Astyanax mexicanus: one gene and its partners. The protein of the gene in region 1 interacts with the protein of each later gene in a pairwise test. Links are inferred from orthologs where the notes say so. Each region holds a gene or a part of one and is shown on either strand. Other genes may lie near its edges.

What was found.
Region 2: the proteins of trim23 (region 1) and tastin interact in binary tests that used the Homo sapiens proteins (3 or more experiments, as listed by UniProt). The two-hybrid records come from large-scale screens. The link is inferred for Astyanax mexicanus from reciprocal best matches to the Homo sapiens genes TRIM23 and TROAP.
Region 3: the proteins of trim23 (region 1) and flad1 interact in binary tests that used the Homo sapiens proteins (3 or more experiments, as listed by UniProt). The two-hybrid records come from large-scale screens. The link is inferred for Astyanax mexicanus from reciprocal best matches to the Homo sapiens genes TRIM23 and FLAD1.
Region 4: the proteins of trim23 (region 1) and klhl42 interact in binary tests that used the Homo sapiens proteins (3 or more experiments, as listed by UniProt). The two-hybrid records come from large-scale screens. The link is inferred for Astyanax mexicanus from reciprocal best matches to the Homo sapiens genes TRIM23 and KLHL42.

What each region holds. Positions count from the first base shown.
Region 1 is NC_064427.1:22,848,215-22,856,174, forward strand, and holds the start of trim23 (E3 ubiquitin-protein ligase TRIM23), read right to left. Parts: upstream 3,311-7,960; 5' UTR 3,286-3,310; coding exon 3,196-3,285; intron 1,722-3,195; coding exon 1,559-1,721; intron 1,278-1,558; coding exon 1,156-1,277; intron 883-1,155; coding exon 604-882; intron 1-603. Other genes in the region: trappc13 (trafficking protein particle complex subunit 13), read left to right, coding at 4,818-4,902, 6,104-6,172, 7,446-7,545.
Region 2 is NC_064420.1:42,756,914-42,764,390, forward strand, and holds the start of tastin, read left to right. Parts: upstream 1-4,348; 5' UTR 4,349-4,486; intron 4,487-5,765; 5' UTR 5,766-5,790; coding exon 5,791-5,849; intron 5,850-5,993; coding exon 5,994-6,237; intron 6,238-6,492; coding exon 6,493-7,015; intron 7,016-7,477. UniProt on the Homo sapiens protein: Could be involved with bystin and trophinin in a cell adhesion molecule complex that mediates an initial attachment of the blastocyst to uterine epithelial cells at the time of the embryo implantation.
Region 3 is NC_064413.1:2,344,165-2,352,317, forward strand, and holds the start of flad1 (FAD synthase), read left to right. Parts: upstream 1-4,944; 5' UTR 4,945-5,066; exon of another isoform or gene 5,067-5,357; intron 5,358-6,704; exon of another isoform or gene 6,705-6,724; 5' UTR 6,725-6,754; coding exon 6,755-6,913; intron 6,914-7,887; coding exon 7,888-8,153. UniProt on the Homo sapiens protein: Catalyzes the adenylation of flavin mononucleotide (FMN) to form flavin adenine dinucleotide (FAD) coenzyme.
Region 4 is NC_064409.1:37,370,166-37,377,477, forward strand, and holds the start of klhl42 (kelch-like protein 42), read left to right. Parts: upstream 1-4,295; 5' UTR 4,296-4,629; coding exon 4,630-5,396; intron 5,397-6,112; coding exon 6,113-6,306; intron 6,307-7,267; coding exon 7,268-7,312. Other genes in the region: cwf19l1 (CWF19-like protein 1), read right to left, coding at 7-148, 791-937, 1,035-1,119, 1,290-1,405, 1,499-1,713, 1,890-1,991, 2,084-2,168, 2,261-2,345 and 1 more. UniProt on the Homo sapiens protein: Substrate-specific adapter of a BCR (BTB-CUL3-RBX1) E3 ubiquitin-protein ligase complex required for mitotic progression and cytokinesis. The BCR(KLHL42) E3 ubiquitin ligase complex mediates the ubiquitination and subsequent degradation of KATNA1.

The DNA of each region.
Region 1 (7,960 bases):
GGGCTGCGATTTGTAAAATAATTAGTAAAATATAATCCAGATGCACGTATTAATGTTTACCATTAGCTCTTATAGCGTATTTTAGTTTATAGCGTATTTTCACTTTAAACATCCAAATTAGTCAATATTTAGATTATTTTTTGATAAAATGAAAAATAGTAGGCCTGAAACTGTTTAAAGAAACCTATAGCATAGTAATAATAATAATTATTATTATTACCATATATATTATTATTATTGGTTTAATTATTATTATGTATATTATTATTATATTAAACTAATACATTTTTAAAAACATCTCAAGTTCAGCAGTTATACGTCTTTGGAGCTCTTTTGGAACTAAAATGGTTCTGCTCATATTGGCTAAGATTACTATCCTGGTTTCCAAAACATCAACATCAGGAACTGACTGTTCCTGACACTCGCTTACTAATTTGTAGATCCCACCACTTGACCGCTGCCACTGGAACCAGATCAACAGCGTTATTCCCTTTACCTTCCCTGTTACGGCTGATCGGTGTAAATTTCTCACAGGCTGTTCATCACAGACATCTGCCAGAGTTTCAAGGGCAAACTGTGCAATTATCATACTGGCCTCAGTACCTTATGTCCTTGATGCTTGCCATACTCCTTGCAGACGCAGCACATAAGCGGGCCTGGCTGGCAGCCGTCCTCCAAGCAGACAAACTCGATGGCGTGCACCTGGTGCTGAGGGCACAGGGTCTTCTCGTGAGGCTTATCTGCCAGAGGAACGCGGCGGTGCTTGGCCAGTGTGCGGGTGGAGTGTGTGAGCTGGGAGCACTCGGCGCATAAATGGGTGGCGCACACCGTGCAGTACATTGAGGCAGTGTGGCTTTCGTCCTCATCACAGCGTATGATGCACTGCAGGGCAACAAGATGGAAGTATGTTAATGTAAACATACTAAGACACTGATTTTTGGGTTTTCATTGGCTGTAAACCATAATCATCAACAATAAAATAAAGAAACACTTAAAATAGATCAGTTTGTGTGTAAAACTTCTATATAATTTAGTTATGTATTTGAGTTTCACATTTTGAACTGAATTACTGAAATGAAGTAACTTTTAAATTAAATTTAACTACATTTTTTAAAATGAACTATATGTATATGTATAGAAACATATGATCCCAACCTCTCCCATCTCTCGCAGTGCGTCCTCCGACATCCCTGACTGGTTTGAGGCACCGTTCTGAAGCCGTTCAAGAAGTTCTAGCAGTGCAAAGTTCTTCTTCAGGCCCCAGACACCCGAGTCCCCTGAACGCGAAAAAAAGGAAACAGGTTTTGTTTTGCATTAAAAATACTATTTATCTTATTGCCCTAGTATAGTTATCCTACTAAGCTTTAAAATTAACCAATTTTACCTGAAATGGTTAACTTAATGAGCATCTAAACATTGGCAATGATAATCAACCACTCTATTAATATTTTATCCTGCATTAAATGCTGATATCAGTCTGAAATCAATCAGTCAATGCTACCAACGGTCAAACAAAGCAAATCATATCTAAAAATGCATAACAGCAGTTTAAACTCACCCAGCTCAGTGGCCTGCCTGTCAAATGGACACCGCACAGCCCTGCCATGGAGAGGCAGGCGGGTCAGGCAGTCATGGCAAACAGTGTGACCGCACAGCAGTAGCCGAGGCACCTTGTCTCCTTGCAGTGAAAATACGTCTTCACAGACTCCACACTCCAAAACCTGAGGAGCAGCAAGTATTCACAAGTCAAACTACATTTATGTACATATTTTACTATATGTTTTCATGGGATAACACACACAGCCATTAATAGCTGAAGTGAAAATGATTATTATGATCTTGTTCTTAGGCTTTAAGTTATTATTATTATTTTTACATAATGTCACCTTTTCTAGTCATTTCACCACAAATTTAAATTTAAATAAATTTCACCCCTTCCCTCAGAAGAGGTTAAAAGAAGAGTTTGATACCACTTTACATACTGTTTACCTAAATAACCAACTACAGCTCTGGAAAAAAAAGAGACCACTTCAGTTTCTAAATCAGTTTCTTTGTTTTTGCTGTTTATGGGTATATGTTAAGTGAAATGAACATTGTTGTTTATTCTATAAATTATGGACAACATTTCTCCCAAATTCTTCCAAATAAAATATTGTCATTTAGAGCATTTATTGGCAGAAAATGAGAACCTCAAAGAATGCAAAGAAAACGAGTTCATATTCATCAAGTTTAAAAGTTCAAAAATCAATATTTGGTGGAATAACCATGGTTTAATCACAGTTTTCATGCATCTTGGCATGTTCTCCTCCACCAGTCTTACACACTGCTTTTGGATAACTTTTTGCCACTACTGGTGCAAAAAGTCAAGCAGTTTAGCTTGGTTTGATGGCTTGTGATCATACATCTTCCTCTTTATTATATTCCAGAGGTTTTCAATTAGGTAAAATTAAATTTATAATTTTAAGTGGTACTTAATATTATTTTTCAATATACTCTATTTAAATCGTTTTAGGACACATAGTTGCTGTAAAAAACAATAGATAAGTCATTATACCCAAGTCATTATATAAAAGGTCATGTAAAAATGAATAGCACCGAAATATTACCACATATTATTATTTATGCTGGAACACATTTTAACAAGCTAACCTAGTTAACTAATTAACATCCTTTTTGAGGGCACCAATTGTTTGTTTGCGGCTTCTAGTTAACCTACACAGATAGGTAGTGTTAGCTCAGAAAGCTAGCTAGCTTGATATTAGCTGGCATTTTGCAATAACTACCAATTTTTCAGAGACTGTACCCTGTTAATTACGCGTAAATTACATTTGTGCAGCTATATATTGCACTGTTTCACAGAATTTCAGGGGATAAAACGTAGTGTTGTGATATTTTACTGGGTTTAGCTTAGCTAATCTAGGTATCTGCTAGACATTGGGGAATCCATTCCACTTGTTAGCAAAAATCCAGGCCAGGATTTCAATCCAACCGCCTCGTTGGCACTGCTGCAGCCGCGTTCAGAAGAGTAGCCCATACAGTTGGAGCAAAATCCTGGGGTGGATTATGGTTTTCTGGCCCTGAATTATCCATTTTTTTGCAACCACGAATGCAGAAACAAAAAAAATACAAAAATACACAAAAACACTCTCCCTAAATCACTGCACTTTAGTTTAAATCTAACATAAACTTCTGTACCTTCACCGTATTGCCTGTTGTGGCCCTTACGTGCCGGACACAAGGCTCCATCGGTGCTGCGGCTCCTTGCTTATTTACAGCGGCGGCCATCCTCGGACGCGACCATCCATGACAAAACCGGGGTGGTCGAGTCAGAGGACGAGCAAATAACAGCAGAAACAATAAACTCAATAAAATATGCTTACAACGTGTTAAATAGTATATTAATATTTTACATGGTAAAATAATTGCGCAAACAATGTTGTAAGGTTTGAAATTGTCTATAAAACCGGTGCTACAGCCGGCGTTTAAACCCCTATTTAAGCAATGGACGAATCCACAGTAAGGTTTCAGCTGTTTCCATAGGTTTTATTGTAGCTGCGGCTTAAAAATTACACTTTTTTGTAATTCTGATGATTTATACACAGTATATGCACTATTAATAGTGTTTTGTTTAAAAAAAAAAACAATTTATATAAGTTAATGCTCTTTCATGGAACATATGTGAAGCTAGGATGCTGGGACTGGTCACTTTTCTGATTTTACTATTTATAGGTATATATTGAGTAAAATGAATGAATTGTTGTTTTAATCTATAAACTGCCGACAACGTTTCTCCCAAATTCCAAATAAAAATATGGTTATTAAGAGCATTTATTTGCAGAAAATGAAAGTCAAAATAAAATAAAGATAAACGTAATGAAAAGGATGCAGTGTTTCAGAAATAGAACAAGTTCATATTTATTTAGAAACAACAATACTGATGTTTCAACTCAAGAAGAGTTCAGAAATCAATATTTGGTGGAATAACACGAATTATTAATTATGGCTTTCATGTGTCTTGTCATGCTCTTCACCAGTGTTTCACATTGTTTTGGGTGACCTTATGACAAATATATGCACGTTTATTTAGTATTCTCGTGGTATTATGATACATTATTTCTATTTGTCTAATAGTGATATGTGCACATTTGTAAATAGGTCGTCTCTTTTATATATTCTTTAACTTTTTTCGATATATTTTTTTAGATAATATATATTTTATAGACATTATTTTGCATGTTTCTCTTCATTATGTCAATACAAACTTTTAACATAAGCATATGTAAAATGTATGTCCAGAGGCAACAAAGATCAACAAATGTTAAGGGGTTTAGTCCCCATGTTTAGTAATATATTTATATACTCACCAAACTTAAAAAACAAGGAATAATGTTTGATCATAAAAAAACTTATCACTAATGGATTTCTCAGAGGTAAATACAAGTAAAAGAAAATAAAAATCCTCAGAATTTGTAATAGTTCAGAACAAAACTTTCTGCTGTATATACATTGCCAAAACGAAGCCCTCTTACAAAAAAGAGCATGTTAATTTCAATATCAAACTTTCAATATCAAAGATTCAGGGGGGTATTTTTATGTATTAATTTCAGTTCAATTTCTCTCACGTTTTTGGAAAGTAAATATTCTAAAGTTAAAGACCACAATTTTCTCCACGGTATACACTTTACAATACTACTCAAATATGATATTACATAAGAAATTGTAGCAATGTCTTTCTGAAATTATCGCTAGATAAAAACATCCTGTGCTGCTTTAATGTAAAACGCGTTTTGTCCCTATCTGCGCTCCGTCGTCAGCTGATGCAGGGGAAACGTCAGTCCGGTTTACTATCAAACAAAATGGATGTGAATCAGGCAAAACAGGAGCATCTTTTGGCTCTAAAAGGTACAGATTCCGCTCTCTGTCTGCTCCATTATCTCACCGACTGCATCTTAAGGCTCATCTCCAGCTGCTGCTTTAAAATTCGCAGCACCGGTCTGCTCAGAACCACAGCTTTAGTGTGGAAAGCGCTGAGAGTCCGGCCTGGTTTTCTAACTGCCCGGTCCACCTTAAATCTGCAGTATTTGTATTCGGGTCAGAGCAGGGTCTTGCATGCACCAGTGTGTAACCTCTGGACTATTTAAGGTGGATTGGAGAATTTGTACAAGAAGCTAACGCCTAATTGTGATGTCAGCAGGGAAGTTTTTAAACACAACTGTAGATACTGTATAGTAATACTGTATAGTACAATAATATGAAGCATATTCATGAGTATTAAAGTCTGAATAAGGTGGCGTTTACTGTGTTTTTAAGGAAACAATAGAGAAAAGCTTTTTAAGAGGGATGTGTTGTATATCGATACTTTTAAATGTGCTTTTCATTGAGAATAGTTTCATTTAGGCACTTTAAGAAGCAAATGACCTGTTTTTATTTATGTTTTAATTTTACTTATCATTTTTACTTATATTTACTTAAAACAATTAATACAAATATGTACTGTAAATGGCCATTACATTAAACCCATATGTTTACACGTTCTGTCCATTGTATCAGCTCTACTGGCCAAATCGGTCCACTTTGTTCACCTCCATTCGTTCACCCTGTTGTTTACTAGTAAGGAACCCACAGGACCACCACAGAACAGCTCGTATAGGGCTGATGTATGAGTGGATCAAACACTGGAGTTTTTAAACACAGTGTTTTGAACACTCACTGTCCTCCATTGTATTAGACACTCCTACAGTGTCAAGATTCTCCACCTTGTAGATAAAGTTAAGTCAGAGACAGAAGCTCTGTTGATTATCTTCTAGTCCTTTGTCAGTTCTTAGAGGACACTGCCCACATATTGTAGTTTACAAACTACAGCAGCACTGCTGCTGTGTCTGATCCATTTGTATCACCACCATATATCAGTGTAACTGCAGTGTGGGGTCCTGACAGTACAGGGTAAAAGAAGGATAGTAATTAAAGTATGCAGAGAAACATATTTACTACAGTCTGTTATAATAGAGCTACAGTGCTCCTATATGAATATACCTTACAAAGTCAACATCAGTACATAGGTGCTCATTATTACTATTAATATGTGCATTTTTCTTTTTACTAGTGATGCGACTGACAAAACCGACACTGTTCACTAATATGCCTGTGACGTGTGAAGACAGAGACCTTCCAGGTAAACAAAAGAAACAACAATAACTCTATTGTTTGGTTCATTTAAACTATTTTATTGTCCTCACACTTTTCCATTAGAATTAAAGTGTTCTCTTAAAATCCCTTGCATTAAAGAGCCAGGGACTTTAATGCTAATATAGGCACAACTGAGGCAGATTAGCTAACCCTTGAATTAATTAATAAATTAATAAAGTTGCACCCATTAGTGACACAAATGTGCAAATGCACAAACACAGCTTGTCTAGTCTGTGTTGTGAAGGATTACCAATAGAATAGGACTCTCTGAAGCAGATAAAAATGATCTTATTGGCACCTAGCATTAAGCTGTGGAGCAATTCTGGCCTTCCCTTAACAGTAGAGACAATTACTCCAACAAAAGCAGGTCAATATTGTGTAATATAATATATATAATATACACTCAGGTGAGATTAATATTATTAATGAAACAAAATAATGAAGACAATGAAGACAAGCAGAAGGAGCCACTATCTCCACAAATTAAGATTTCATTAAGTGATTTCATAACAGTTAGGAGGTCTGACATATTTATCTTTTTATATTTGACACCCACTCTTAACTACTTTTATTGCCTGTTAGCGAAATTGGAATGAAATCTGTGGCATGACTGTAGCCCAGAATATAACCTGCAGACCCAACAAGAATTTATAATGTTTGTTTTCCCTCTTGCCACAGTCCAGCACCTCCGAAACACAATATTCAGCCATTAACGGCACCGCTCCAGAGCCATATGTCATCACGACACTTCTTCGTAGGCCCTATATTTATATGAGGGGGCAAAATGAGAGTGGAGCATATTCCACTATTAATCAAGATGAATGAGGAGAACCTGAGAGCAGAAAGATAAAGTGAATGGAGTGGTGTAGATGCCAGCCTTGTCTCATTCTCTGCCTTCTCCTGTTTTCTTTAATTTAGTCATTGCAGACTTCTGCTAAACGTATACTGTAACCTGTAAAAGTCGTAATTTGTCCAGGCCTTGCCTTTGACTTGGTATCAGATGACTCTGCCATACTATACAGTTTAACTATGTCAGCCTGCCACTCGCTGGGCACAGCTCCGCAGGGTTGGCCGCTGATCAGACATGAAATTCTCTGAATGTAAGAGCTGTATCTTTTCCACTGCTATAAATCAGGCTCAGGTTCTGGCCTTCTTAGGTCACAGTTCTGAATCATAAATCAGATAAAGATTTGGACTCTGTTGTGAGTGTATTGCTGTGACTCCAGATCATATTTAACTTAACCTCCATTTGTCTTCAGGTGATCTGTTCAGTCGACTCATGAGGGAAGATCCATCTACTATTAAAGGGGCGGAGACTTTGATGCTCGGGGAGATGCTGACACTACCACAGAATTTTGGGTAAAAGGTTTTACCGTTTATTGTTTTAGACATTATATTAAAGTGAAGATGATTGGTTTATTGCTCAAAAGTGAAATGTACAACTTCTTTTTAAATTTGAACATTTGAACACTAAAATGTTTATTTTTTCTGTCTATAATTTTGATTACCGTATTTTTCGCACTATAAGGCCCCCGGACTATAAGGTGCACTATCAATAAACGTCTGTTTTCTGGTCTATTTTCATACCTAAGGTGGACCGGATTATAAGGGGCACATTATGCAACACTAGTAAGGAACAGGAGTGTCACCATGTTTTCCTTCTAATACAGCAGGCATTTTATTCTCACAAAAATGCTTAAAACTCTAGAAAATCCTCAATGGCTTATAGGGACAAAAACAGATGAACCTTCTTAATAAATCTCCTGATTTACCG
Region 2 (7,477 bases), on another chromosome or scaffold:
TTTTATTACTCATTTATTTAACGTCATTTTAGTCATCAGTTTCTCTTTGTTAATCTGTTATTACATACTTTTTTGCTTGTTGTAATACTATAACTAAAAAGTGCAAAGCACTTAAGAGGTTTGTGTGGAAATGGCTTCAGTCTTCATTACTGTAAAGTTACTGTTTTGGCTGTGTAATTGGTATGTGTACTAATTTGGCCCCTACAGTTAGTTGCAGTAAAATGGAAAGCCCTGTTATTTCTAGAGTAGCAGTGGTTCAGTTTCTAGATGATTAACTCCTGGACCGAGAGTCATAGTTCAGTGGAGTTTGCAGAAAGGAGAGGTGTGTTGTAAATGTGTGTGCAGCATTTTCTTGTAGCGTTTAAAGTCGAATAATAGAAATATAATGAGGCAAGACTTGCAGCTCTTTTCCTTTGCATGTAACACAAATATCCAATCTTCCACAGGGGAGTTGTACTGACTTCAGATAACTTTTGAGGCTCGATCTTATGGTTTGATTGAGTTCGTCAGGACTGAAACTGAAGTAATGAAGCCTAAAGCTGAATTGGGACTGTTCACAAATGTAATGCAAAGCTGTCCCTCAAACGGTAAAGCAAAAGAAAAGAAATCATTCGTCATTTCATGGAATCCACAAAAGCAATGCTGCTCAATTAAATTATGTTTACCAGGGGAAGCTAAAACGGTATCAAAGGAGCCTGTTTGTATCTGGATATGGCCAAGCCACATAAAAATACAAGTGCAAACGCACCCAAGCTCCATCTGTCACGTCACTTTAGCAGGTGATCTGAGACACATTTGGTATTACACAGGTATTATAGCAGTGTAAACACATCAATATCTCCAAATTGCAACAGACAGCGAAAACTCCTCCCCATATTCATGATAAACAACTGGTTGCTGTGCAAAACAGAAGCCATATTTCAGAAACACATTTAACTCCCATTTAAAACTACAATTAAGGCATTACGTACAAGGTCATTCCTATTTCAGAGGAGGATCAATATAGTGTTAGGAGTCTAGCCCAAGGACTCTTTTTGGTGTAGCAAAGCATTTAGTCACCCAGAACTGGAATTGAACCCCAGTCTTCCACATGATGTGATGTGGTGTCTTACTGGCAGGTAGTGGTGTTATCCACTGCACCACACCAACCACCTACCAAGTGTAAGTGCATGTGTTTTAAAATCCAATCAAGATAAAATCCAGATATATGTGGAACATGTCACCAGGTGTAAACAAGATCCATGATTTTTGTTCTTAGTTTTTTTTTTTTTATACTAGCTTCATAGCCTTGATTTGTTTGTAATGTTGAAACTTGATTTTAGGTTAAATACACCTATGAGTACCTGTTTACACCTGGTCACTTCATGTAACCAGTATCTGGATTGGATTCTAATGTGATTTAATCTACATTCATTTATACATGGTAGTCAAACATGTCTCTGGTTAATCAGACTGCAGTGTGGGATGGTTTAGGCAGTTATAACTGGTGTCTACTTGGAGAGACTGATGTGTTTACACTGCCATAATGTGGATCAAATGCTCATATGAATCTCATATCACCCCTTCAAGTGGTCTGAGTGAATGGATTCGTATCTGTTTTTAAAAAAATCCTGGGTGTGTTCACACTTGCATGTTTAGGTGGCTTAAACTTATCCAGATATAATCCTAATACTCAATATGCATGAATTGACCACAGGGTCTTTTACACATAAGTTAACATGTTAACTTTTAGTAAAATTCTGCAAGAAAGTATGAAAGTTTATGCTTTTGATGTTGACTCTTGGTCCAAACAGACAGTTAAGAAGCAGGCAGTTCTGCTAACAGGATCTATGTCTGATGTAGGTCTTTATCATAGTCACTCACATATATATTCATAAATACGTACATGCATATTTCACTGTGAATGCTTTTTTTGGCCAGCGCGATCGTGCTTTACCGTGTGGTCAGTGCTCCTAAAACAGTTAAATCAGTAGTAATGAAGTACTGATAGTGATGCTTGTTTGCAGGTTATCTTAAGAAGTGTAAACAGGAAATGGAACTGTACCCTCAGCACCTTGGTCTGCTCTAGGTCTGCTATAGTGAGTGCCCATTCATCACTGTTTGCTTTAATGTTTTGTTGTTGTTGTTGTTTTTTTTTTATCATAGTCATATGATGTATTTCTACTGATTAACATGTTCCAGCTCTGTAAATATCCATTTTTAGTCACTCGGCACGGTCAGACGGTAGGATGTCTCGATGTTGTCTTGCTCTGTTTCCCGTTTGCCTCCATTTATTTGTTTAAATGTAGTTTTCTGCCGGCTGATTTCAGCAGGAGTGGTGTGGTACCTTTTGTAGTAAAACGGTAATGCATCTAAAATGGAATTAGTGTGTAGTGTCATGACAGATTCTGGTGGGGGAGTGTTAAAATTTTGTGTACATAATTGGTGTAATTTTGTTATAGCGACACGGAAAGGTTTGTTGCATTTGAATCTTTCTAAACATACCTTGTACAAAGATTACCTTAATGTTTTGGGAAATGTGAGAGTTTAACAGCAAGCTGTTTAGACCTTTTTATTTGTATAGGGTAAATATGTTATTTTTTGGTTGATGTTTTATGACATTGGTAAGGTGATAATGAAGTTAATGTATTCTATAGTTTTTCCAGTTTATTATTGTTCATTATCTGCTTTACCCCTCACTGATATAAACTGTTGAGATATTTTAGTTTTTTTAATATTCATTCTAGAGGGGTTGAATATGTTCTTATTAAATCTGAATTCAGATTGGCTAGTATGACAAAAATAACAATAACAAGTGTAAACGTTTCTTTTTTGTGTAATTGGCCTCACCAAAATGTCTGACTTTGATCAAGCGAGCAATGTTAACATGACATAAAAATATATTTATGAAGTAGAAAACTAAAACCCAAAAAATATATGTTTGGTCATTCGAGTCAATCTGAGAATAAGGTGTGCTTCTCTTCTGCCCTTTAAGACCAATTAAACCCTATTGAATTTTAGTTTTTGGCTTCTCTATCATCACATCTATTTTCACGTGTTTTTGTTTGATCTATGTATGTTTTCCATTTTGGAGTGTTTTCTTGTGTGTTCAGTTTGTCTTGAGAAATAATTCATGTTTCTTCACACAGTTCCTCTCAGGGTTTATTTTGTATCTCAAATATCATTTTGATGGAATACGTAAAAACATCAACAGTTGTGTCGCCACTTCAAAAGCACGCATATACAAACAAATCCACTGCATATTAAAATTGAGACATTGTCCTAGCCAGCTATTGTCTACACTATTGGGTTGATAATTTGAAAGGGTTGAACAGATTTTTTCAAACAAGCTCAATTAAAGATATTTTTTAACATATTGTATTGTTTTGCATTTGTTATTTATTATTTTGTATATGTCTGTAATATTAAATCTGTCAAAGGGTAATATAAGGTCTCAGTCAATTCTCAAAGGTGATGTGCTGGAATCGTGAAAAATCGGCAAATGTAGAAATTACATTTTATAAAAAAAACCAAACAGATGACTGAAGAACCAGTCAAGTCTTCTGTGTGTTCTCAGTTAGGCAAGTGGATTTAATGTTATGGTTGATGAACTTATGAACTACAGGCATGTTAGAAGGTGTGATTTCTCGATAAAGGAACATCATATAGTTATTTCATTCCAACAAAACATTTGCTTATACCCACATTTATAGATTTCATAATATGTTTTATGGAACTTTTAATCACAATTGAATACATTTGAGATTTAACATCATATTGAGCCAATCAAACATTTATTTATACTTATACATAGGTTTTAAACCATCCTTTATGTCAGTGTTTTTGTTCATCTCATGCAAAAGCTGATTAAGTCAGTTTTCCATTTATGATTAATACTACAATATTCAAAAATGATCTAAGATGAATAGTATTTTTTATCTGTAAAAATAACCCATCCCACTGCTTGAAAGGGCAGAATCTCAAATATCTCCCTATTCCCTACGTAGTGCCCTACCTAGTACTTGTACTAAAATACTAAAAAAATACTGTGTCCAAAAAGTGCTGTGCAAAATATCTGACTGTTTGAGAGTCAGTCGTTTTAGAATGTATTATTACCTAATTTCTTTAACATTTATTAATATTTAAGCATGAAAGAACTAAGTATAACAACGTTCTCACAAAACTAGTGCACTAGTAGGCAGTAGGGAGCATGGTGGTATTTGAGACAGACCCCGCCAGTACTTTGGCGGTTATTTTCCCACAAACAGAACAAAAGTCACGTGGTTTAAAGGCGCATCTTGGTTTCCATAGAAGTGCTTTTCGAGCTCGCTGATTGGTGGAGGACAGGTTTGCGTCAGCCAATGGAGATGGGAGCTTTTTACAAATTACTGTGGAGCCCGGAAAACAACACGCTGGAGTGGAGCTCTGCTAAAATATAGCAGATTTAGGGGTTTTACTGCTGAAAAACCTCCAGCCCGGAGAACCAGGCCGCTCCAGCCCGGATTCAGTGAGTATTTACGGGTTTAAATACGCCTGGGTTTATCGGGTAAACTGGCTGAATATATAATGAATATAGTGAATATATAGGCCAGCGTTAGTTCATTTCATTATCTAACGTTGCAGATCTATAGTGAGCCTGTTTATGGCAAACCGGTGTTCTGATGAGTTGTGCTTCCCTGTCAAACAGTGCTACCCTGCTGTTTATTTATATAAACATAAAAATACCAGAAAAGGCACTACATTTAAAAATGCCTGAATCAGTATATCAGTTAAGTAAATAAGGCTGATAAGAGCCATTGTTTGTATTTTATATGGTCTAATTATTTATTTTACTATTTACAATTTCCATTTACACGTTTGTAACACCCAGACAAATAATAGCTGGGTGCCCCGGCTGTTTAATGCACCAAAGTAGATCAGAATTACCATAAAAACGCATGAAAACATTAAGAAGTTGGTCCGCGCATGCGCACTACTGATAAAACTTTCATATCGATGGGTAGCAGCAGAGAACAGCACAGATTATACTGCTAAACACTCTAATTCAGCATCTCTGAATTAACCAGTTAACGTTTAAAATGTTCACTAGTTCACGTTAATTTTGGGGTTTTATCCCCTATTTAATAGGCTGCTATTCTGATTCAATAGAAGCCTTTTCTACCCATCCATCACACCACACTCTGCTAACCTGTTTAATATAATGTTTCATATAATTTTTATACTGAAACTTGTAGCTACTTATTCCTTACAGAACCATAAAAATGTTTCAGCACTTTTTTAAGTTTTAAAACTTATATATAAGTTATAAAACTTTTAGACTAAAATAAAATTAAAGTATTATTCTGGTCAAGTGATTGAATACTATTTTTAGCTGTTTAGCTTTATACACCTGCATTCAATGAACTAGTCATTCCGTTCAGTGCTATGTTCAGATCTATAAATGTATAAAAAATATAATCAGAAAAAATGTTTAATCAGACAGAGCTTCAATGGTTATATCTAAACATCTATAAATTGATACAATAAAAAAAATAAAATAAAATATAAATCAGACAAAGAGTTATAATGTTTATACCTATACATCTATAAAAATATAATCAGTATGGTAAATATCTACTTGGTGGGCGTAGTTTTGTTTGTCATTATAATACGTAGTTATTATAAATCTTTATAATAAAAAATATATATATATATTAAAATTATATATATAAAATTATATATCTTGATTTAGATTGTACCGCCATAAGCTGATTAAAGTGCTTTCTTTTTTTTCTTTTTTTTAACAGTCGCTCAAAACCCATCAGTCTCCAAATGGCATCCTCAGCAGCTCCCCTCTGCCCTCAGAATCAAAACCAGAGGGATAATCCAGGGTAAATGGACTTGTTTTCATGACTTACTGATCTTTAACATACAGTTCTGCACAGAAGTATTTGAGTAAACAACATTCTAACAGTGGTATGTAAAGTCTGGTAGTTGATCTTTATTTAAATACTTTTTTTTCTCTATGCAAACAGGCTGCTGAAGCACCAAAAAGCAAATAAGCTTTCAGAGAATTTAAGGACACAATCCCACATTACCCAGTCGTCCAAAAGAGGATCTGAGAACCAGGACCCGAATGAAACTGCTAAAACCACAAAAGGAGCAAATAAACTAAAGACCATCAGCAGGCTTCCAGTCCTGGCAAAATCCATACAGCCAGTTCTTACAGACATCCCTCAAAGTCCCGGCCTTAAGAGATGGGAGGAGAGGCCACTGCTGGTAGATCAACATTTTATATTTTTCATATTGATCTCAAAAAATATACAGGGTCCTATTGTACACCCTGCCCAAAGCGCCTCACAGTGCTCTTTGCTGTCTTACACCCTGTGAACAGTCTATTTTCACACCTATATTGTGAGATAAATTTAGGTCGTATCATCCAGACCTAACGGCAAGCCTACTGATTATTTTATAACTATGTGAATCAGGTGGTTATAATCATTATAATCATGTCTGACTGATTTACTTTGTCAGGGAAAGGCACAGAAGAGGAAAACCTGTACCAAACCTGTTCCATTCAACTTGTCCCAGTCTCGGAGCCACAGCCAGAAGCTCACTGAAGCTGCTCCTGAAAGGGCAGGAAGTTCTGGACTACCCCTAACGACTCGTCCGACACCCAGCAAGACCCTGACCACCTCTCAGCACAGAACAAACCCCCCCACTCACAATCCCCTTTCATCTTTGAGGAATACACATGTTCATCACACAAACACTTCAAAAACTAAGCCCTTAAACCCTTTAGAGCCTAAGACCAGTCCAAAGCCCAAGCCTAACAGCACACAGTCTGTGCTACAGTGTGTTACTGACTCCTCCATTCAGAGAGACCTGAGCTCACAGCTGCGCAGCATCACACTCGCTCAGTCAGAGCTTACCAAGGACCCGGGTCTTTCTCTCAGAGCTGGTGCTGGTGGGGTGGAGGAGAGAGCAGCTTTCCAATTAAAGACCAAAGGCTGCATTCAGACTGCTTTGTCTGCTAAACCTACCACAGGTATAACAGGTGAGTTCTGTGATGTAATGTAATACTGAAAGTGTATTCAGTGTTTTTCATATTGTTGCGGCCATGCAAAAAATGTTTTTTCTGCATTGTTTTTCCTTTTCAGATTAAGTATGAATCTGGCAGTTGTTCTTTATATTGTGTCTTTACAATTTATTATTTATGGACCAATAGAAACGCTCCAAAATTACTTTTGAGAATTAAAGTTAAATATGAATCTATATTTTAGGTAGTGTTAAAACATTCCCGTGGGACTTATGTAGGTGGAATGTTTGCTATGTATGTTTCTGGTTGGCACATAAGAATTACAGCCCACATTATACTCACATGGCTCCCATCTAGGCCTGTCACAAAAGCACTTTCTTGTGGACGATATATCTTCCCAGAAATTATTGCGCTTACTGATATTATTGTCATTTTAAGGCAATTTAAATGCCACCAATATAACAATAATAGAAAAGCATA
Region 3 (8,153 bases), on another chromosome or scaffold:
CAGCACTTTAGCATGTGCAGGGTACTATCAACTGAAACAAGCAGCAAGTTTTGGATTGAGAGCAATGAAAATGTGCTACTATTGGGCAACACGCCCAATAGTAAGAAACCCAGGACTGTTAAATAAATTCTATAAAGATAATTTGAATTAAAATATTACAATTTAAAATCAATCTGACCCTGATTATTTTCATTATTTAATTTAATTTATATATTTAGGTCTAATTGTAAAAAAATAAAATAAAAAAAGTTAAGACTACAATAAAACAAATTAGTGGAGAAACTTTCAGGAGTATAAATAAGTATAAAAATATGCTATCTTCTATGTGGAATCATACCATACTTTCAAAAACATATTTACACACATCTTCAATACAAGCTTGGTTCTTTATGGAATTAAACATGGTTCTTCACCTAAAAATGTGGGCCTTGGACAACCCAGTCAGCAGGACATCAGCGGTTCCAGGATTAATCAATAACCCTAACCCTAATTGTTTGTGATTTGAGCACTGTTTTATTGATCACACGCTTGTTAATTAAACGCTCCTGACTACCTGAATTGGTCTTGCTAAGGCTAAAGTGTGAAAGCCCCTGAAGAAAATAACTGTGGTTGCTGTTTTGCCATGTCAGTCAACTGTGGAGCTTCAAAAGTGGCTGTGTTATTGCAGAGTTTTAAAACTGCGCCACTCACTTGAAAATAAACCATGATATAAGTACAAATATTTCATAATTTTAAATATAAGACTGACGACTGTCAGTTTGGGATGTCTGGCAGTAAGCTTTGGGATGATACTTGGATAGCTGGGGGGAAAAAAAGTCGCAACAAATTACACCACACTACGCAAACAAGCCAAGTAGACATTTTAACCTCCAACAAAGCTCCTAATAGTGATTAAATGGTGGGAATAGTGTCAGCACCGACAGCATGGGGGTTTAAGTTCCTGAACAGATGCTCAAAACAACAGCTGGTCATGGTGAGCTCATGCTGGTGAAGGACTGCCTCTCCTCTGAGCTCTGAGATGACACTGATTTACAAAGAAATTGTGTATTAAATGACATGCCAGGGTTTAAAAGTTACAAAATTCTAGAAGAGTCTAGCTGAGAAAATAAGAAGAGCATAAAAAAAATCACATTAACCTAGTTGTGGAACCATGCTTACTAACAATAAGGGAATAAGTGACATAACGAGAAGCTAGAGGTGGGCTATATGACAATATTTTATTGCATCAGGTTTCCATTTATTATTTAGGATTTACATTTATTATGAGCTCAGACTACAAAAAATTAAGTAAAAAAAAAAAAAAAAAAAGTTTAATATCTGCAAAAAAAGTGATCACATCCAAGTAGCGCTGGCCGGTATACTGGTTCATACAGTGGGGAATTTCAAACTGGTATGCAAAGAAGCATACAGCTCGCTAGATAACGCTAGCCAGTTAACATAACAAGCTAACATACTGCAGTGACTGGAGCACGACATGAACATGAATAGATGAGACCAGAATCGGTCCTGAGCGCAGCGTCGTTTTATTCAGCACAAGTGATAAAACTCCGTAAACTCAGGATATGAGGTGCAAAAATGCTTCAAGAGCAGCAACTATAGCCCTTATAAAATTATGGCTGATTTTAATATTGTAATGATTCTAATGTGTTTGATAATAACATTTTAAATTGATATTAAACTTGTGTCTTACTTGTGCAATAGAGCTTTAGAGAAATATCTCTTTGAATACTTAAACTGAGTATTTTAGGTTAATTTATAGTGTTTGTGGAGTTATTTAGCTTGTTTCGAAAAGGAAGCAGCGTTAAAATTGTTTTAAAAGCTCTTTTCTGCTAATGAAGTCAGATTTTTTCATATATTGTGTATATATTTTGTGGGACAAAGTAAACCCAATTTAAATCCTTAGTGTTTTATATTATATGTACTACTAAACCTAGATTAAAGCCAAGTCATGTAAAAAAAATAAAATAATAAATAGCCTGATATACCGTGAAACTGTCAGAATCTTGAAATATACCTTGAAATACATTTTTGGTCATACCGCCCAGCACTACATCCAATGTATCCAATGAACACAGACCAACTTCTTATTTTATATTCCACTATAGAGATTTATAATAGGATATAACACATTAGGATACATGATATATAACTGGATCCCATTAGTTAGTTCTGATTCATTTGACCACAAATGTAGTTCGTATGTATGGGATAGTTTTTCTAATGATAAAAACTGTGTATCGTAAAAAGGTTTTTAGTTAAATATCGCAATATTTCGATAATATTTTTACCAAATCGCCCACCAGAAGACTATTGCTTGGTTAGTTAGCTTGTTAGCTCAGATAGTTTTTACACAGGCAAGTTAGCCACCAGGTTCAAAATGTAGTTAGCTAGCTAGCTAACTAGCTAGCTTATGTGAGGAAAAAAAATACCTCATAGCGTTAGTTATAGTTGTAAATATTAAATAAATTAAATGTAATTAGTTTTAAAATGACTACAAGGACTAACCTTGTTTGCCGCTCTGGATAAGAGTGTCAGATAAATGCCATAAATGTAACGTAAATGTATCCTTAGCAGATAATAAACACAAACCAACTTTTTACTTTATATAACTTACCATTATAGAGATTTATAATGAGTACGAGATATATAATTAGATCCCATTAGTTAGTTCTGATTAATTTGACCAAAAATGAAGTTAGTTTGTATGAAATAGTTTTTTTAACGAAAAATACTGTGTATCGTAAAAAGATTTTTAGCTAAATATCGTGATATTTCGATAATATTTTTACCAAAATCACCCACCTCTACCTCCAACCAGAAGACTAAGGTTTAGTTAGTTAGCCTGTTAGCATAGATAGTTTTTACACAGGTAAGTTAAGTTAGCTACCAGGTTTAAACTGTAGCTAGCTAGCTAGCTAACTATCTTATGTGAGGAAAAAAATATTCACAGCGTTAGTTATAGTTGGAAACAGTTAATAAAATAAACGCAATTTCTTTTAAAACGTGTTAATCTATATAACAAGTGGCCTGACTCTATTTACAACCAAACACGAGGCTTAAAAAGTTAGCTGCTTCATCAACTTGTCCGTTCCACCTTAAATGCCTCAGGCGCACGAATGGAACTGCTGCTCTATTTAAGGTGGAACGGACGAATTCGCAACTTGAAGCTCTCAAACTCGAGCTAACTTCTAAAACAAGCCCTAAAAGTTACTCAACACTTTCATTTTCAGCATTTCCAAACCTTCAACCACTGAAACAACCCCGAACCCACCTCCCAGCGGAGTTAACTCAACTTCAGACACAGACTCACCTATTCCTCTCGGCCCCTCCGGTCCTCTCTGTCCTCCTCTTCTCTCTGTTTCTCTATTAAAATAATAATAATAATAAAAATAAACCTCAAACTTCCTCTAAATCACTCTCTCACTCCTCAGCTCACTCTCTCCAGCCTGCTCTCTCTCTCTACTTCTTTCGGGAAACGGCGGAGAAAACTTTCCTCTCTTCTCTATTTTCTCTTTTTTCACTCCCTCTCTCCCTCCCTCCCTCTTTCACTCTCTTCCACTCTCCTCCTCCTTTCCTCGCTCTTCCGCCTCGCGTCACGCGGATCTGCGATCTTCTCCAGTATCGAGTATTGCAGGATTTAGAAGTAAAAATAGTTCTAATAAACATATTATTAAAGTATTTTATAACAAAAAAATAAATAATAATAATAATAATAATGATGCAACGAGAGATATCATATTGGAATTCTTGTTTTACAGAGATTAATAATAATAATAATAATAATAATAATAATAATAATAATAATAATAATAATAATAATAATAATAAATAAAATTATTTAAATAATAAAAAAAAGATCAGAAAAAAGAAAAGAAGGAAAAGTAAGGGAAGATAAAATAAAGGAGTGGATGGGAAAGTAAGAAGAAGTAAGAAAGAAAAAAGAGAAACACTAAATTCAGTGTTGGGTCTTTTTTTATTTCATTTTGTACATTTATTTTTTTGTCCATTCTTATACTGGATACTGTTGTGGCTCTTATTGTTATTTGCAATAATACATTTGTTATTAATTTTAGCAGCTAATCTTTACAAATTTCTTAGCTTTTTCCTAATTAAAAAATCTTTAATTTCTTGTTAGTAATATTAGCCAACGTTTCTTTATTTTTCTTTTGTTGTTTTGTCAATTTATTTAATAATAATAATAATAATACATTTTATTGTTTAGAATAACAACAATACATGTGTTGTTCATATTATTAGCCAATCTATGTGATTTTCTTAGCTTTTCCTTTTTACTTCTTTATTAAAAAGTAACAAAAAGAATACATTGAGTAATCATACATTTGTTTATAGGAATAATAGTAATAATACATTTTATTGTTTAGAATAACAATAATATATGTCTTATTAATATTATTAGCATAATAATATCTACTATATTACTATAATATCTACTATAATAATATAATACAGCATTTTCAGGACATTATAAGTTGCATTACATCAACATAAAAAAATCAGCATAACCCAAATAGAACCCATATAGAAATAGTACAATACAATAAAAATATAAATTAACAATAAGACTTAAGAATTTAATAACGAACAATTAAGAAAAAACAGTAAGATATTCATTAATATTCATTTATCTGAACACAACCTTTTTATTTACTTTATTAACTATACTGAGGATTAGTAACAGGCTGCTAGTTTTAGCCTATGCTGGTAAAAGTGTCTAGTGAGCAGCGCGAGGGAGGAAGGGAGCAGGAAGGGAAATGGAACATCCCCAGAAAACACGTGAAGGCTTCGAGGCTGCATATGGGACTGCACTTCCGCTTTGGTTCTAGTATGCCCCCCCTTCTTTAATCTGATTGGTGTATTAAATGTAAACGTCACGCCGCGTCCGGCCGTGTCTGATTCTGATTGGGTAGCGTGTGTGTCAGTCATGTTACCTCACTCGAACTTCAGCCGGTGGTTTGTTTTGCTGGGTGACTGAGCGGAGGACGAACTTCAGCGATATTCCTTCAGTTAAGAGAATTCAGGCAACATTAATCTGATATTTTAACGCTGTAAATAAGTTAAAATGCTCATGTTATTTTTCTCAGAGTCAGAGAAAGCATTCAGATCCTTAAATTAGAGAACTGTGTTCAATAAGAGCTGGTTAAAGTGGTAAACCTGTAAAGTAAAGCTAGGTTAATTCAGCTAGCTCATTTATTATATATAGCATTATATATTTATTATTATAGCATTTATTATAATTGTAAACAACTTAATTCTGATTATTATACTGATTTGTATCGGAATAACAGTTGCAGTTGGACCCAACAGCACTCACTGGGCTTTAAATACCAGCTAAGAAGGTAAGACAAGAATCTATACAGTGGCTTGCAAAAGTATTCATACACCTTGACCTTTTTTATTCATTTTGTCACATTACTACCACACTACTACACAATTACTAACTGTAAACATGTATTTTATTGAGATAAATGACAGACTTGTCTGTCAAATTGGAACATAGTTGTTTTTTTCATCTTATTCCTTCTTTAAAGATAATGTTTCCCTCACTTTTTAACTTCTTTCTGTTTTTGGTAGTTTCAGCAGATAATTTTACCCTTCTAAAACAGATTAACATTTTTCCAAGAAATCAGGATTATGGTGTCTTCTCACATTGTAGTTTTAAACAAATGAGAAGCTACTCCCTGCATCAGTTGTCATCTGGTCTTAGCCGGAGACCCACTCTTATAGAATACAAACCAAACAAATTTATTTTTTACAAATCGCCTTCAAAAACTTATTTAAACATACTCATGCATTCGAAGTGAATCTAAGACCCTAAAAGTCACTACAATAAAATTTAATATCAAAACTGCACAAAATAAATAAGGCCACAAAATGAGATATATTTTACTTCTCCATACAAAAGACGAGTAGAAAATCAGAGCAATAATTATTTTTATTTTATTATTATATAATTTGTTAATGTATTTCTTTTTTACAAGTTGTCTGCGACCCACCCAGAACGTTTCTGTGACTGACTTTTGGGTCCCAATAACCAGTTTTAGAGGGTGAAAACAGCTAAAAACTAAAAGTTTATTTTCCCTTTAAAAAACTTCAGGTGGACCACGCTCCCCTTGGGCAATTCAGGTGGTGACCTTGTTTATGGTCAGGCAGTGTACTTAGCTTAGTTTTACTCAGAACTTGGGATTATTTTCATCAAATATCCAAATATTTAGTTAAAATATCAGAAAACTCTGGTGTAAGGTGGACTTTTTTGGTGTAGTAAAACATGATAAAAAAAAATAGGATTCGTTTTAAATGTTAGGGCTCTCCAGTTTCTACTAAGGAGGTGTGGAGCTACTTTGAGCTGGATAACGGTGTAAAAAGTGATTTATCAGGGTAAATTGTGCCCCGTGTCACCAAGTCTGAAGGGTGTTTGGAGAAACTGTTAAAATATCTGGATCTCAGAACGCTGTGGGAGAACGGAGGTGTGCTATTCATCAAAGATAAGAACTTTTTATCATGTTTTACTACAACAAAAGCCCATTTTACACCAGAGTTCTCCTTTAAACTGGTGTGTTTGTGAGTGTGTAGATATCAGTGCTGGACTCAGACCAGAAACTGAAGATCCCGGCTGCACTTCTTCATCTTTTCAGTGCAGGACATTAAAGTAACAGTAACTAGTCATGTTCTCCCGTCCCCCTTAGATCCTCTCCGTGTCCCTCAGCCCCTCCTGAGCCCCTCGCTCCCGGGCTGAATGCTCCAGGCTTTGCCTCGGCTGAACAGAGCAGTGGGGAGGATTCGGCGTGTGGGAGCTCACATCACCAGCATGGCCCGAAACGGTGGCTCCTCAGCAGCGGAGGACGGAGGCGGCGTCACGGCCGCTATCCTCATCATCGGCGATGAGATCCTCAAGGTGAGGAGGAGGCAGACACCAGTAGGCTGTGTCATCAGTGATTTATCATTTCCTACAGGGAATCATGACTGTACTGCAGTGGTGTACTACTATGTAATATGTATAAATTGTGTAGAGTGGAGCTTGAAATTTGTGAAACCTTTAAAATAATAAATCTTTTTTTTTTTTATCAATTCGACCAAAAACTATCAATCAAGTACTAAAGGAAAAAAAGTGGGTTTTCTGCCATGAACTGCCGCTCCAGCACTTTCCACTACATTTTTAACAGGATTAAGGTCAGGATTTGTACACTTGAATTTGTGAAATTCATTCTGACCTTTCACATTCCCTCCAGGGCTCTTCTGTTTAAGTAAACACAATGAGCAATATTGAGGTCAAGACAAATTATCATTGTTATGTCCATATACAGCTCTTTCTTTGATTTTACCAAATTAAAAACCTCTGGAATATAATCAAGAGGAAGATGGATGATCACAAGCCATCAAACCACCAAACTAACTGCTTAATTTTTTGCACCAGGAGTAAAGCAGCATAAAGTTATCCAAAAGTAGTGTGTAAGACTGGTGGAGATGATGGAACATGCCAAGAAACTGATTCAGAAACTGAAGTGGTCTCTTAATTTTTTTTCCAGAGCTGTATATATGTACAATAAGAGTATAATGTGAGTATTATTATTGTTAGATAGAGGACCATTGACATAGTGTTCAGTAGCTCCTCCATTTCCACTCGCTGTAGTGTTTTTACATGGATCTCCGTGGAGATCTGTAATTACCCACAGTGTAATTTTATTAAACGCGAGGAGACGAAACTTAGTGATGTGCGTCCGGAAGGGACTAAAATTACCAGATTTCAGAGAAAAACAGTAGATAATTCAGCCTGTAATTTTCTTAGAGAAACACGTACATGTTCGTTCCTTATATATAGGGCTTATGTTTTTGGGTCATAATAATATATGTCTGCAATTTTTGCATCAGGGTCACACCATGGACACCAACAGTGCCTTCCTGTGCCGAGGCCTGAGGAAGCTGGGCGTGTCCGTGCAGAGGATCACCGTGGTGCCGGACGTCAGGGAGGTCATCGCTGAGGAAGTGGCCCGGCTCTCCCCGTCCGTCACCCACCTCATCACGTCCGGAGGCATCGGGCCGACGCACGACGACGTGACCTTCGAGAGCGTCGCCATGGCATTCGGCGAAGGTCTTCACGCGCACCCGGAGCTGACCGGGCTGATCCAGAAGTTCTT
Region 4 (7,312 bases), on another chromosome or scaffold:
ACTCACGGGGTTTGCGGTGCTGCCTAGGTTGACCAGATCTGTCGTCCTCTGAATGCCGCTTCCGGCCTCCACCCTGGTTGTGCTGGTGCCGGTGGTGCTGCTGCTTCTTCTGGCCCAGATCAAAGAAGAACTGAGAAGCAGGCTCCTCCTGCACAACAGAGAAGTTTACCCACAGTCTTTAATCCACACAGGCAGTGATACTTTAAAACAAGATGCAGAACAAATGTACATGAACAAAAGCAAAAAAGCAAAAAATGCCCAATGGCATTCCCTTTCAATAGGAAATCTTTATTTAAAACTCAGTGTAGTCCAATACTAGGCTTAATCCCTGTCTGGGAAACAACTCTGTAATGTTTTAAGAGTTCATTCTATTTATTTTTATTTTATTTTAGATTTTAAGTGATGGTAATTTAGTTTTATTCAAATATTTCTATTGGCTTTTTATATTAAATGCAAACATTATACATTCAACGAGACATACTCCAGAAAAGAACAGTAAATAATTATAAACAAAATTAAAATAATGACAGTAAAATGTTACCAACAAGCCTTACAGTACCACCATACTTAATATTATTATTGTTATTGTTATTATTATAACAGACAAATTAAAAATTGTTATATTTAAGGCTTACAGAGACTGTCAGTTACTCCATACCTAGGTGTATTCATCATGTCTTTGGCAGGAAATTCTTCAGGATATAATTAAAAAATGACTGCCACCTAAAAGTTAATTCAAAACTGTGCTAGCTTGAAATTTAAAAAATATCCAACAGTAACATATACAAACCTCATCGAGTACAGATGGAGGAGGCTTTTCCATCTTGCCTTCTTTTAGAGATTTCCTGTAAGGGGTCTCTGTCACATCCTGAGGCTGTTTGACTAATTCTGCAGCATCCATATTTTTCATCGGGACAATGTTAAAAGCATACAAGTACTAAGAGAAACAGCCACAAAACAAAAAAAATTTCAGTCATATCATCCCGTAACTCAATCTTCATTCACAGTATGTGGGCAAAGGGAAAATGTTCTACCTTTTTCTTAGCAGAATTGTTAACTGTCGCCAGTGCAATGAATCGACTGACATGCTGTGCATTTTCTTGAAGAACCAAATGGTTTCTGTTTAACAAAAAAGTACAAATAGAACATACAAACAAAAATGACAAGATTACATAAAGTTGTAATCTTAATAATGTTAAATATCATGATACAAGTTCTAGTTTTGACATTTAAAACAGTCATTTTGTCACACATTAAAATTTTCAGAAAAGGTTGAAAGTGTAGCTAACCTGTATGGCAGTCGTTCATAGTGAACACCTTCCAGTGCAGCAAAGTGGTAGCGAGGTTTCAGCTTTTCTGCAAGATTTGCAATGGAGGAAACTCCACAGAACTTTGTGTCAATTTCCTAAAAGAACAACAATAAGTATAAAATTTAGACAGGTCTATAAACATTGCCCACTAATAACTTTATCAACTTTTTCTACTACAAAGTACTTACAGGATTGTTGCCAAACTGCCACACTCCTCTAGGCCACTGAGAGGTCAGGAGAATGTCAACTCCTTTAAACTTCGAGTTGGACACCAGGGGAGTGACCAGAGCTATGAGATCCTTTGCAGTAAAGCAGTGAGCAGGTGCAGGCTCATGTTGAGCCTCTCTGCCACTCACATATGCAATCTGAAGACCTGAAGCTCCTGTGAAAATTCCTCTGCGCCCTAAAATTCAAAACATGATGTACAGGAGTCAACAAACAGTCTGCACGACTTTCTTTCTTTCTTTCTCTCTCTCTCTCTCTCTCTACATATACATACATATATACATATATATATATATATATATATATAAAACAAATAAGAAACAAACGTAAATAAAAATAAGACAAGCCTCTTACCCAAGTAGATGATATTTTCAGCCAATTCACAACCATCAGAGCTGGAGAAATACTTCACAGTCTCCTGACTTGCAGCCCCCAGAACGTATGTGTGGATGGGAGCTGAAGCAAAACATTTCTCCATTTTTAATAAAAGAACTGAAGGCTGATTTCAGTTATGTAAATTCAGGTTCAACAGACAATGAGTAAAATACCTTTTTTAGCTCCAGACTTGTACGCCTCCCATTCTGTTTCAGCCTCTGGAGAGGTACCAAAGAATTCACCAACGCATAATAATAACTGTTAAAGAAATACAAATTAAAATAAAAGAGAGACTGTAATAGGTGCATCAACTTCCTTATTTAACCAGACACTGTCCAAAACAGACTTACATCAAACTGCCCGCTCTTTTTTTGGATTGTGTTTACTCGGTTAAACAAAGCAGTGATTTTGCCTTCGACGTCTCCACAGGCAAGCCTAAAGAAACACAAACCAAAATTAGAGAAGAGCAAAATATATTATTTAAGAAAAAGAAAAACACCTATAAAATTACTATAATTCGAGACAACTTTATGAACATCAAACAAGGGTGTAATATATCACAAAAAAGTAACGTCTTTATTAGATTTTTTTTCTTTAATGAAAGCTAGACTTGAGTACAAACTATAGTGGATTAATCTTGTAAAAAAAAAGTATATTATAACTTAATTTCTATTATTTGCATTTTTATTATTTTCATATCTCAGCACTGGATTTTATACTGACTACATTTATCAAAAACGAAATTATAAAAAAAGAAGAAAAAACGACATATAATTACCATTTTAAACTAGGCTGACTTTTATTTTGAAATGGTATGTAACGTAAACGCTAGCTAGCTAACGCTATTCTTTAAAACCCTGTAATAAAAATCAATTAACTCGAACTAAAGCTAAGGTGCACAATTAAAAAATACTTTAAATAAAGAACATATTAAAGTGAATTGCGCTGTGAAATCAACAATAAACGTTCATAAGAACAGAAACAGCAGCGCGTGTTCTCAGCTGTGGACTGACTCGGACTAGTGTAAATACAGTAGTGAACACAGTGAACTCTCTCTCACACTCTCAGAGGCTTCTCCCCCATCCCGACACACACACAGCGCGGCGCTGGAGCTCTGATCACCTCCCTTCTCCTGATAAACTAAGTTACCAGTTTCCCTCGAGCTGCTGAAGTGAAGCTGTTTCTCTTCTGATTTTGAAACGCTTTCAGGGTCCGCTCACAAAATACAGCCCTACTCCACACCGGGGAAACATCCTGACCGGCTCGCGGCTCAGAGTTACAGCAGAGACGCGCTTCGGCTAAATACAGTAACCTATAATAATACCTAAACACAAGGCCTCGATACACATTAATAACCGTATAAATCAGCCGAGAGAGCGGAGATATTTACTGCAGAAATTAACACAGAAAACTGTTCAACCCCTAAAAGGTTCCACCCGAGAGAGTTATCCTGCTGAACCAACATTAACATTTAGTGTTTCTTCCGTATCAATCATGCGCGCTTTAAACGCACAATGTGCTTATACTTGTTAAAATGAGCAGCTTGATATTTTGTTGTACATGTTAAAGCATTTTTATTTTATACAAAATTAATCAAATTAAACGTTCTAGAAATCGTGCTAGTGTGTAAGTTGGATATCAGGTTTCAAATATCGACTAAAAAAAGAAATGCGCAAAAACGGCAGGAGAGCAGCTGGCTGTGTCCAAAACCAAGTACATGCTACCTACTACTACTTAGACAATAACATTGTAAAGTGAGAAATATAAGATTATAGAAATTGTGAATTTGTAACTAAAAACTGTATAAATGTATGAAATGTTGAATGATATTGAATGCAGACTTTTTTTTTCATAATGCATGCAGAGCACTATAAGCTGCTCCTCTAACATAACCACTGTTAAAAATGGTCTAGAACCGCCACTAGCTAATAACCAATGAAGAAAACACAAATAAGCACTCACTGCTAGTGCTGAACTCTCCATACCGAGGTAACGCCAATACACATTTCCCTTTTGAATCAGATACAGAGACCCTTTAATCACTACATTGCCTTCTAAAAACACAGTGAGGCAGCGTAGGCAGCAAAGCAACGAGTGAGCAGTGTTGTTTATGGGTTTGAGACACAGACTGAGTGTGACGTAGGAACATCCCGAGACCAAAACAGGAACTGGTTTAAATGGACTGGCTAAAAGGTATGAGGAGGTAAACACGCTGGGTTAGCTAGCTGTATAGTTTTCACTGTGTAATATTAACATTATCTCTCGACATGTGTTCACAGGAGGGGCGCTCACAGGCAGTGGAGGGGAGCAGGTCTCTGGTGCAGGGCTGCTCTCTGTCTGGAGCTGATTAAAGGAGAAGATAATAATAATGCTAACGGTAACGAGCGTTAGCTCTGTGTTCAGCGCTCTGTGTTCAGCTCTGCCCGAGCCGATATGGAGCACAACCACAGGATTTCACACTCGCCCGTCTTATTATTTCTCCCTCTTAGTCCACAACTTAGTCAGCAGCTAGCGAACACGAGTCGAGTCTGGAAGCAGAGTCAGCCCTTAAGCTCCGGGCCCAAACATTTCCATATATAGTTATATAGCTCGGCTTCAGAAGAGACGGGACTCAGCAGTAGAAGCAGGAGCACCAGGAAAAGCTGCTGGAGATGTAAACCTGATCTCGCCCACCAACAAGTGCCCTTTGCCTTCGTCACATGCCACAAACACCGTGACCATGTCCGCTGCAGAGCAGATCATCGAGATCGTGATGGACGACAGGACGTACAACGTGAGTAAGAGCAAGCTGATCGAGAAGAGCGACTACTTCCGCGCGCTGTACAGCTCCGGGATGAGGGAGTCCGGGGAGGACTCGGTGCAGCTGCAGGGCCTGAGCGGGCCCGGCCTGGAGCTGGTCCTGGAGTTCATCAACACCTCCAAAGTGCAGGTCGCCAACGAGACCCTGGAGGACCTGATCGAGACAGCCTCCTTCCTCCAGGTGACGCCCATCCTGAAGCTGCTCCTGTCCGAGATCCGTCTGGAGAACTGTGTGGAACTCTTCAAGCTCTCCGAGGTCTACGGGACCCACGACCTGCGGACAGCCTGCCTGAAGTTCATGTGCTGCCACTTTCACCCCATGCTGCGCAGACCCGAGTTCCAGCTCCTGCCCGCCTCGCTGAGGGAGCAGGTCAGGCAAATGCGCATGAGGGGCACTGCCACGCTGGTGGCCATAGGAGACTTCATGGGCACCTGCCTGGACCTCGCCGACCAGGACGAGCCGTGGTCCATGCTGAGGTACGGGGAGGTGGAGCAGCGCTGGAAGCCGCTCGCTAACAACCTGCCCCCAGACATGGTCAACGTCCGAGGCTACGGGTCCGCGGTGCTGGACAACTACCTGTTCATCGTCGGCGGCTACAGAATGACGAGTCAGGAGATCTCTGCCGCCCACTGCTACAATCCCTGCAAAAACGAATGGCAGCATATAGCACCCCTGAACCAAAAAAGGTATCTGCATCGTTCTGTCAGGCACAAAGGAGAAAGTACTGGATAAAAAGTCTATACAGTGACATGGTTTACTGTAGAGAAATCATATTTCTTTCCAGTGGTGAAATCTGTTTTAGACAGGGTCAGTGTATTCATGACCATTTCGAGTAATCAGTTTTTGTGGATAAGCTTCTGCGATTCTGTAGAACAGGGGTCTCCAATTCTATCTGCAAGGGGTAGGTTCGACTGCAGGTTTTCATTCTATTATTATTATAGTATTATATTATATATTATTATTTTTCTCCCCAATTTAGAAGGCAAATTAAACAACACATTCACTCATTAGGACTCCCCTTGTCACTAGTAATTCCCCCAACACTAGGAGAATGAGGACAAGCACTCACCTCATCAGACACATGTGTAGCCAACCACTGCAGGAAAGTGCAGATACTCTGATCACCTAACAGATGCCAGTGTGGACCATCACTGGGTAGCATAAACCAGGATTCCAATTTTTATCAATTAATCAGTTTTTAAATACTAATAAAATGTGATTCTATTTCGCTGGATTAAAAAACCTGCTGCTGCACCATCACTTTGTGTATAAGATTGGACACCCGTGCTCTTGAACAAACAAACCATTCCAAACCATCTTAATCATGCAATTTTGTTAATTATTGAAATTTCTCTGTTCAAAAAGGGCTCTTCTTCTTGACCAGTGTTATGTTTGTATTTAGGGCAAACTTTAAGCTGGTGGCTGTGAGTGGGAAGCTGTATGCAGTGGGCGGACATTGTTTAGGTACAGTGGAGTGCTACAGTCCTGAGCAGGATTGGTGGAACTGTGTTTCCTCCATGCCTGACCCTCTGGCTGAGTTCTCTGCCTGCGAATGCCAAGGAATGATCTACGTCATGGGAGGCTACACAGCCAGAGGTGCGTACACGGTCTTTCTAGAAAGAGGCTGCTCACATAAACAGGAGCTTGCTTTGCGATATCAATGAGTCACTGCAAATCAAAGTATAGTGGTTTGAGAAGAACTTTGGGAAAGAACTTTTCTGGAATGGTGCAGTCCTGTTGATGTTTTGTGCTGAGTTGCTTGGATTAGTCACTTAGTCATCAGCAATGTTAGTCATCAGCAATGTTGAATACTGCGTGTCACATATTTAAAAACAGGAAAACAAGCTTTCCCAACAAAGATTAGGGTACTAAAGCTGTAAAGGGTGGGCCAACATCATGTTAAAACGCATGCATTGACTCAAGTTAATGTGTGCACAATCATTTAGTATGTTTTCGCTGTGTGATAGTTCATACAAGATTCAGTTGATTCCAAAGAATTTGACTCTACCTCTGGATATGGTTACCATAAATGTTCTGTTTTGCACAGTAAAATGCTGTTTATGAATGCAACTCTCTGTTGTAATTATTGTTGTAATGATGGTTATTCCTTGCCCTTCTATTATGTATTATTGACTGCTGGTTCTTGTTCTCCTATATTTTATTGAGAAACATGATGCCGCTTTTGTTTCAAATCATGATAATCTGAATTCATTTATTTGTTTCATTTACCACAAGTCCTAATATGCCTGGAATGTGATGCAGGCCTAAAATGCAGGAATAGATGTATATATTAGTAATGAAATTAAATTGAACAGATGTGAAATATATTGGGCTCATACTGTCTGCAGTAAAGTAAATAGGATTCATACCTTGTGTTAATAGACAAATGATTTATAATACAATTCATATACATTTTTGCCAGTATAAATAATATTATTATTAATAGTATAAAAATATTATTATGAAATCATGTAGTTATTATATGAAACTTAAAAATACAAATATATTTCAATTCAAGTTTGAATTAAAAAAAAATATCCTTTCTTTATTCTTGCAGACAGGAACACCAACGTTCTGCGCTACTGCCCCACCTCAGACACGT